2 linked regions of the Sus scrofa genome follow. The protein of the gene in region 2 interacts with the protein of the main gene of each other region in a pairwise test. Links are inferred from orthologs where the notes say so. Each region holds a gene or a part of one and is shown on either strand. Other genes may lie near its edges. The genes, in order: GPN2 and GPN1.

Region 1 (4,564 bases), on a different chromosome or scaffold from region 2:
ACTGTCCCCACAACCTCCCTTCCTGCTCACTGCTTGTCATTTCAACTGTTCTTCTCTAGGTTACTTTGCGGCTGGAGATGCTATTTAGGGAACTGATGTCCCCAGAGCAGCAGAGCACTAATCGTGCAAGAAAAAAATCCTGGCTGGAGTTCTCGCTGTGGCACAGTGGGTTAAGAATCCAACTGCAGGGAGCTCCCATCGTGGCTCAGTGGTTAACAAATCCGACTAGGTTTTGGGTTCGATCCCTGGCCTTGCTCAGTGGGTCAAGGATCCGGTATTGCCATGAGCTGCAGTGTAGGTTGAAGAAGCGGCTCGGATCCTGAGTTGCTGTGGCTGTGGTGTAGGCCAGAGGCTATAGCTCCAATTAGACCCCTAGCGTGGGAACCTCCATATGCCGCGAGTGCGGCCCTAGAAAAGACAAAAAAAAAAAAAAAAAAAAAAAAAAAAAAGTCCAACTGCAGAGGCTTGAGTTGCTGTGGAGGCATGGGTTTGATCCCTGGCCTAGCTCTGTTGGTTAAGGATCTGGCATTGCTGCAGTTGTGGCGTAGGTCGCATTCAATCCCTAGCCTGGGAACTTCCATATGCTGCTGGTGTAGTCATTTAAAAAAAAAAAAAAAAAAAAAAGCTGGCTATTAGAACCCCTGGGCAATGCCCTTGTCAGCTTGCCTCTCCCCAAGTCTTTCCCATCTTGATAAATGGCACCTTTGTCCACTGGTTCAGTCAGAAACCTGAGAGTCATCCTTAATTCCCCTGCCTCTATGTCTAATCCACCAGCAAATCCTATTTCTGGAGTTAAGTTTTGAATCTATCTACTTCTCTCCATTCCCAAGACCACTGCCTGGGCTGTTGCAAAATCTTACTACAGGATTTATAGGTGCCCCTTTTAATTCACAAAACAGCTGGAAGGACTTTTCCAGTTCATGCTGTTCCCTTGCCTCATATTCATCAATGGCTTTCTTCTCTGTTTTGACAGTACAGGTTCTGGCCCCTACTAACCTCTCTGACCTCATTTCCTACCACCCTTCCCTGAGCCACTATCTCAGCTACCCTGGACTCACCCAACTCCCCACCCCCTTTTCCTAGAACACAAAAAGCTCTTTCCTGAAGGGCCCTTAGTGGTCCTTCTGCCTAGGAACAGTTCTGCCTTGGCAGGCTCCCACTCACTATTCTGATCTCAGTTCAGATGGTACTGTTCACTCTCCTCACTCCCGTTCCATTACTTACTTCTAATTCCTTCAAAATACACATAACCATCTGTAGCCCTCTTGTCCCCCAAAACCCAGAACAATATCTGGCACAGGGTGGCATAAAATAAATGGGCAGGGGTCAGGACCTGCCTGTGGCTACTCCCACCAGGCCATGCATGGTTCCTGGAAGCAGCTACCTTCAGCTGAGATTTCTGCTCCAGTGCAGCCCAGATGCTTCTCTGATTTTTGCCTGCCAGGACAGGAGCTCTTACCCAGCTTCCCATAGTGTTCAATGAGGTCCATCTTGGAGAGGAGGTTGACATGGGGGAGCTCCACATGCAGCATGGTGGCTAGGGAGGTACACAGTACTGAAATGAACTTGGCAGGGTCTGTGCAATAGTGAGAATCCACCAGGTGGACAGCAGTCAGCTGGGAGGGAAGGAAGAGACAGGGTGAGAGTGGCCTGGGGAGGCAAGGAACATTAGGGCCTATGTCTCCCCATCAGACCGGGGACTTCTGAGGACAAAGGGCAAATCTTCCCATTAGTCTCCTCCTGCTTCTGTTCATTCTAATAGAGTCATCTCCTTATCCCAGGAAATATGGGGCATTTCTTTCCTGCAGGCAACTGGTACAATTCCCACTGCATCTGACTCTATTCTTTAACTTTCTTTTGCCCACCAAATCACAACCACCATGCCACTTTCCACATAACCCTTTCCATACTTCCAATAATTCTAAGTTGGGTACTAACACATTCATTATACAGATGAGAAAACTGAGGTTCAGAGAATGAAACTGACTTTCCCAGGACCACACACCGAGTCAGTGGTAGAGCCAGAATTCGAATTCACACTTGTTTTACTTCAGAGCAATTCTACCCCATACTTAGCTATGGGACATGGGGGCGTGGCATCTGTCCTCTCCGTCTCAGTTCCTCCATCCGCAAAATGGGCCAGATCCCAGACGCACCCTGAGGTCCCACTGCGTCATCTGGGAGAAGATGCTGCGCAGGGCTCCGTGGTGCGTGCAGAGCTCCACTTGACCAGGGCAGTCAAAGAGGAAGTAGTGGCCGCGAAGGGGGTCGAGTTTCGCGCGCAGCCAGTCCAGGTTGGCCTCTAGGTACTCCATGCAGTACAGCAGACCGCCGTTGGGCCCCAGCTGCAGCTCGTCCATAACGTCGCTCAGGCCCACCAGCTCGCCCACATCTACGGCGCACTCATATGGCAGCCCCTCGTTGGCCGGGTCCAGGTTCACCACCGCCACGCGCCGGCCCAGCGCTCGCAGAAACTCACTCATGCCCAGGCAGTACGTGGTCTTCCCCGAGCCCGGCGGGCCGATCACCGCTTGCCCAAAGGCCGTGGTCTGAGCGGCCCCTGCCATGGGCGGCACACGGCTCAGACAAGTGAGAGGAAGTGCGTAGCAGACAAGTTCAGAGAGGAAGCAAGGGGGGAGCCGCACCGCAGACAAGAGCCGAGGGCAATGGGTTCCCCTAACTGCACTTGGCTGGGGACTGGCAGCGATACCCGGAAGCCGCCTAAGGAGAGAGAGCTGGAAAAGGCGCGCTGTAAGGGGACCAAATGGCCAGGCACTGACCAGACCAGCACCCGACTTCCGTACAACGCCGGAAACAGCGAGGGCCGGAGAGGAAGTCCCGCCTTTACAGTGACGACATAGCTTGGCGCCGAGGGGCGTGGCGGCGCCGAAGCATGAGGCGTAAGCAGGTCCAGGAAGAACTTTTCAGGGTTTTCCCCCACCTTCCGCCAAGCCCAAGTTAGAAGAGGAGAAATTCGGTAATACACTCCTTTATTCTCCCATTAGGTCTCAGACTCGGGATAACTGCCTTAGACTCTCCGCTGCCCGGTCCCAGCCAGTTAAGGGGAGAGGCGAAGGAGGGCCGGCCCCCAAACCGTCTCTTCAGAGCGCAAATCTTCTCCTCTTCCATGTCCCTTTTCCCCTCCTTCTGGGCTTCGTGGCGACCTCCCTACCCCTCCCCACGGGAAGTTGTGCTGGTAATCTCAGGCAGTTTGGCTTTTCATCGTACTGGGGGAAGCAACAGGAGCAAGCCCAAACAGACCAGGGTTAGGCGGCCACCAGGGAGAGGTCATTAAGCCGTTTCATCAAAAGGGAGGATTGGGGACTTTTTGTCAAAATGCCCCTGAGGTAGACAGCCAGGAGGCAAGTTCTAAAAAAGCATCCTGAACAGGCTAGGGCAGATTGCTGCTCCCAGAGTTCTTTTTGCTTTGGCATTAGATAAGACCGTATAGAGGGCTGCCACTGTGCAATTATGAGTGATCCTGATTAAGGAAGCCCCTGGACCTGTCACTCAGGCTCTGAAGGGCTGTCCAAGGCACAGCTGGAACCTCTCACAAAAGCCATGTCTGTACGAAACTTCATACTGGTGGGTGGCTGGCGGCGGAGCAGCGACTCCCCCTGGTCCTGGGGCAGGGGCTCATCATAGATGGTGGAGATCAGCCCCAAGCCAGTTCCACGGGGTCTCTTCAGTTGCCCAAATGGCTGCAGCTTCTCTCCATGGTACCTGGATTAAAAAGGGCTCTCAGTGAGAGGGCAGCTCTCTTACCTCAGTAAAGGGGTTGGAAAGGACAGGAAATAGCTACGCGTATATAGTCTGTCCCAAAGACAAAGCATTTAAATCTAAATCTTTGCTCTCCAGCCCCCTTATCCATCTATAGATAGCACCAAAAACTAGCGGCCTCACCGCTTTCATTTTAAACAGTAGACAAAATTGAGAACAACTGTCACCACTCTGCATCCCTAACAGCAATCATCCAGGCTACACTGCTCAGACTTGGGGGAATGACTCCTGCAGGAAGTTAATGATCCTATCAAGCCTGAGATCTTGGTCTTGAAAAAAACAGTGCCAGTCCTACTTTTTTTCTTTCTAATTCTGCTTTGAAAGTCATTCCCTAGGGAGTCTCTAGCACCTAAGCCAAAACCAGAGGGCAGGGGGAACCAGGGTAGAGTTGAAAGGCTCCCTTGGGCTCCCTGGGAAGTCCCTCAGCCATACTCACCCCAATCCACGCTTGCATCTGGGGTGCTGGCCATCACTATCCAGGGCCTCAGGCACCCCTGAGCACTGGCTGCCCAGGCCCTGGCCCTCAGCCCAGCCCTGCCGCTCCATCACCTTCCGCCCAATGCCCTAGAGAAAAGGGAGAGAACTCAAGAGTTGGGGCGCCTGTGGGGGCTCAAGGAAACAGGGGTAGGGAAGGAGAAGAGAGGAGTCAGTAGGCTGGGCACAGTGCTCACCTTGGTGTGGCGCTCGAAGGTGCCCACCTGGTGCCTGATCACAGAGCCAGCCTCCTGGCCATCACGGAGTCTCTGTTCCAGACGCATTTGGACAGAGTCTCGGGCGTCCTTGT
Region 2 (4,598 bases):
ATCCCACGTTGCTGTGCCTGTGGCATAGGCCGGCAGCTACAGGCCCAATTGGACCCCTAGCCTGGGAACCTCCATATGCCGTGGATGCGGCCCTAGAAAAGGCAAAAAGACAAAAAAAATAATAGAATAAATTTTCAAGCTAAGATCACAGAATTGTGATAATCAAAGAAGTAAGATCAGGAGGAGACTAGGAGGACAGAAGGTATCCTCTAAGTACCTTCCCTCCCAACAAGAAACTGAAACTAGCTTTTGAGGCTTCTGTTGTCAGTACTGTCTTCTAGCAATTTCTCCAGCTTCACACTGGTTCCCTTCCTTACAGCCAAGGATAACTGCTAAGTAACTGCCAATAAAAATGTTAGGCTAGGAGTTCTCTCAAGCTACAGTAAGGATGGTCTGAGACAAGGAGGAAAGTTATATACAATTTAAATACCTACTGACCACATTCATAGAAAAGGGGAGCTAAATCAAGAAAAAAGGTTTATTTCCTTACTCTTCGTTTACTGATAACAAAAGTAATACAGATAATATTTTTATAAAGGTTGGAGTTCCCATTGTGACACAGTGGAAGCGGATCCGACTAGGAACCATGAGGTTGTGGGTTTGATCCCTGGCCTCGCTCAGTGGGTTAAGGATCTGGTGTTGCTGTGAGCTGTGGTGTAGGTCACAGACATGGCTCAGATCCCTCATTGCCATGGCTATGGCCTAGGCCGGCAGCTGTAGTTCTGATTCGACCCCTAGCCTGGGAACCTCCATATGCCATGGAAGCAGCCTGGAAAAGGCAAAAAGACCAAAAAAAAAAAAAAAAAAAAAAGTACTAACTTCCGGTGCTAATATGAATAAATGCTAGGGATTTATACACAACGTTATAAATGTAATGAGCACTGTTCTACACTATAAATGAAAGTTGCTAAGAGTTCTCATTCACAAGGAAAACAAACTTTTTTTCTATTCTTTAATTTTGTATCTATATGAGATGATAAATGTTCACTAAACTATGGTAACCACTTCAGGAGTATGTAAATCAAATCATTATGCTGTACAACTTCATCATATACAATGCTGCATATCAATTATACCTCAATAAAATCAGAAAAAAATTATGTGGATGGAATTTAAAATTTTAAAAATTGATCTGTCCAGTAATATCTAACCAAACCTATCTAGCAGTCAGCAGACCTTCTCCATCAACTATTAGAGTTCCATCCTTTAAGTGAAACGATGGGAACTTTTTTTCCCAAAACTCTTCCCATAATGATTTCTGCTTCTTAATACAAAGTTTTCCTTTATCAGCACTGGAGTACAAGCTTAATAGAATTAAAAAGAAACCAGTAGGGAAAAGCCTAATACCCAGGAATAGTCTGTGGAGATCAGGATGCCTAGATCCTATCAAGAATCAGGACTCTGCATCATATCCATTCTTAATCTTTTTTATAGTCAAGTCTGATGATAACAGGGAGGGAACGTCTCGCACAACCACATACAGGCATATTTACACACATTTCTCCATGTAACTTTGAAAGCAAACTACTGCAGTAAGCAAATTACTGTTCAAGACACTCATGCTCCAAAAAAAAAAAAAAAAAAAAAAAAAAAAAAAAAAAAAAAAAAAAAAAAAAAAAAAAAAAAAAAAAAAAAAAAAAAAAAAAAAAAAAAAAAAAAAAAAAAAAAAAAAAAAAAAAAAAAAAAAAAAAAAAAAAAAAAAAAAAAAAAAAAAAAAAAAAAAAAAAAAAAAAAAAAAAAAAAAAAAAAAAAAAAAAAAAAAAAAAAAAAAAAAAAAAAAAAAAAAAAATCATCCAAACTGGAAGAAACTATAAAAACAAGGTTTATGTATCAGAGCCTGCTGAAGGATTTACAGCTTAGAAGCCAAAAGACTGACTTTCTGTCACTTCATTTTCCCAAATACCATAGTCTCACACCCTAAAGTCAAAGAGAGGTAATGAAAATGGTAGGTGATAAGGAAAGAAATTTAGAAAGGGGGAAGGAGTAAACAAAGAGAAAATGATCATCGGGAAGAAGCCTAAGGATGCTAGCAAATCCAAGGGAAATGCTAGACAACATCAAAAATGAAAGCATTTAAGCCTGATGGATAGGCTGACAGTTTTCCACTCTCTGAGAAACTTCACACCAGTTCTGGTACAGTTTACTCACCAATATTGGCAGGAAAGGGAACTTCATGCACAGCTGGGTCCAGGTTGATCACATAAGGTGGAGAGCCTTGACTATGCAGATGTCCGGTGAGCCTCTGCAGAGATATGGAGAGAGGGATAGACTGAGACCAAGAGGCATGATACAGAACCAAGAGAGAACTCCCACCCCTCTATCCAACTTACCAGAGGAATTTTGCACTTGCATTTCCCTCTACCTTAAATATCCACCTCTGATCTCCACCTCCAACAATCACTCTCAGTTGAATGCAACGTTTCTTCATCACACATCGTACTCTCCATCAAGTATTGACTAGGGGGGCGGGGGGGACGACGGGGTTTCCATATCTCCCACAAAACTTAAATTCCACCTAAGCGGGAACCTTGTTACTTCATTTCCGCTGTATCCCCAGTGCCTGACACACAGGAGGCACCCCAGATAGAATTCTTTAGGAATCTACACCGAAAGCCTGTGTGCTAGCACTGTATTACCTGCCAGGATTCCTTGTAAGCCTCTACCTTTGAGGAGTTGGCCGACAAGACAATTTCAAGTACGGTCATACCTCGTAGGCACTGAGGGGGCTCAGAAAGAGGCTAAATGAACCCAAGTGAGGATCTGAGAAGGGTTCACCGAGGAAGGAACCGGAGTTGCTGGCAAGACCCTAAAAGCCTGGCGCCGGTACCCTCCAACTCCCCAGAGATCTCCCTCCCTTTCTCCCTGGCCTTACGCCCGCCACAGACAACTTCCACCGCGCCCCTACTCCGCCCGCGCCGTGTAGGTCACCTGTACAAAGGTGGTTTTCCCAGACCCCGCCATTCCCAGCACCAACAGGCACGCCGGAGCCCGGGGACCCCCGGAAGCTTGCGGCACCGTGGCAGCTTCGGGCGCAGCCATCTTGCTCCTGGCTCCGCCCACTCGACCATAGAGACGGTCGTAGCTAGAGAGACTCCCGCGAGGTTCGGGACGCTGAATGAGACTAGAACCAAACCGAACCGAACCGAACCAAACCCAACTGGCCCGGGAGGGCAGGACCAAGGGGAGAGACGTGCGCCTTAGTGTCTGTCCGTCCGGACCCGGATGGGGGCCCAACTAGGGACAGAGACGGGGAGGTGGAGACACTGGGACGACAACTGGAAGGGGTCAGCCCCAGAGCAGCTCACCGTCGTCGGGCGAGGCCTGCTAAGGACACAGCTGCGGACCCCAGGCGGGTGGGAGGACAGGGGACCCCCGGGCTCACACAGTACGAGAGTCAAGAGAGGGCGTTTTCCTGCCGACCCGCTGCGAGCAGGAAACCGAGCCGCGGGAGAACCAGCCGCTAGGGCTGGTCCGGCAGCCGAGGAGGTTAAGCGGCTCAGAGCTGGACAGGCCAGGACCCGGGCTGTATGCGAGCCCCGGAGTTGCTGGGCCGCTCCGAGACCTCCAGAGACCCGTCGGGAGAAACTGGGAAAACCCTCTAGACTGCGACGCGGTGTCCGCGTGTCGCCGGCCCCCGGCTCTAGCGCTGGCTCCCTGACGGCCTCCCCAAAGGAGCTGCGCCGAGGCTTGGGGGAGGAACGTTTGGTTGCCGAGTTTGTCAAGTAGGTACTGAAGGAGCGCATCCCTCCCCTCAAAGCGCCTTGGGCACCCGGAAAGGTGGTGGAAGAGCCGAGCCCTATGCCCTAACTCCCGACCGGCCAGATGGCTTCTGCGGCCCTTCGGAGTGCCTGTAGTGTGCAGTTAAGCCTTGAGATCTGGGTTTCAAGCCCAGGTTCTGCCACCCGCTGGCGGTGTATATTGTGGCCAGGCCACTTAAGTTCTCTAAACCTGTTCTCTCCTCTTTACATTTGAGATACTACCTCGCAGGGTTGCGGTGAAGGCGTAGTGTGGGTTGTAAACTACACTCTCAACGTCTTTACCCTTAGTCCTATTCCCGATGCCGGTGCCTTGTGTGAGGAACATCATAGGTGCTTCCAAATATTTGTTTTTTATTGTTGTTTGTCTTTTCTAGGGCCGAAGCCCTGGTATATGGACGTTCCCAGGCTAGGGCTCTAATAGGAGCTGTAGCTGCCAGCGTATGCCACAGCCACAGCAATGCCAGATCCGAGCCGCGTCGGCGACCTACACCACACACAGCTCACGGCAACGCTGGATCCTTAACCCACTGAGCAAGACCAGGAATCGAACCCACAACCTCATGGTTCCCAGTCGGATTCGTTAACCCCTGAACCATGACGGGAACTCCAGGGCTCCCAAGTATTTGGGATGTGGAGGTACAGGTGTGCATTTTTAAGATTCTTTCCTAACTTTTCCTGATGGGGGAATGTCTCGCTTGTTCTTCCTTCAGATTGGCTGAGGACTCCAGTAGTTCCCTTCAACCAGATCTTCGCTTCCTAAATAATTTTCTCAAGCCAGAGAAGCTAACAAAGAGAGAGAAGAGGTTTAAAGAAAAGGCAATAGTAGAAATGATGAAGCTG

The links.
Region 1: the proteins of GPN1 (region 2) and GPN2 interact in binary tests that used the Homo sapiens proteins (3 or more experiments, as listed by UniProt). The link is inferred for Sus scrofa from reciprocal best matches to the Homo sapiens genes GPN1 and GPN2.

Annotation. Positions count from the first base shown.
Region 1 is NC_010448.4:84,206,903-84,211,466, forward strand, and holds the start of GPN2 (GPN-loop GTPase 2), read right to left. Parts: upstream 2,828-4,564; 5' UTR 2,568-2,827; coding exon 2,157-2,567; exon of another isoform or gene 2,006-2,156; intron 1,617-2,005; coding exon 1,460-1,616; intron 1-1,459. Other genes in the region: GPATCH3 (GPN-loop GTPase 2), read right to left, coding at 3,507-3,723, 4,217-4,344, 4,452-4,564. UniProt on the Homo sapiens protein: Small GTPase required for proper localization of RNA polymerase II and III (RNAPII and RNAPIII). May act at an RNAP assembly step prior to nuclear import.
Region 2 is NC_010445.4:111,561,987-111,566,584, forward strand, and holds the start of GPN1 (GPN-loop GTPase 1), read right to left. Parts: upstream 3,080-4,598; 5' UTR 3,040-3,079; coding exon 2,929-3,039; intron 2,243-2,928; coding exon 2,149-2,242; intron 1-2,148. Other genes in the region: CCDC121 (coiled-coil domain-containing protein 121), read left to right, coding at 3,223-3,722, 4,469-4,598. UniProt on the Homo sapiens protein: Small GTPase required for proper nuclear import of RNA polymerase II (RNAPII). May act at an RNAP assembly step prior to nuclear import.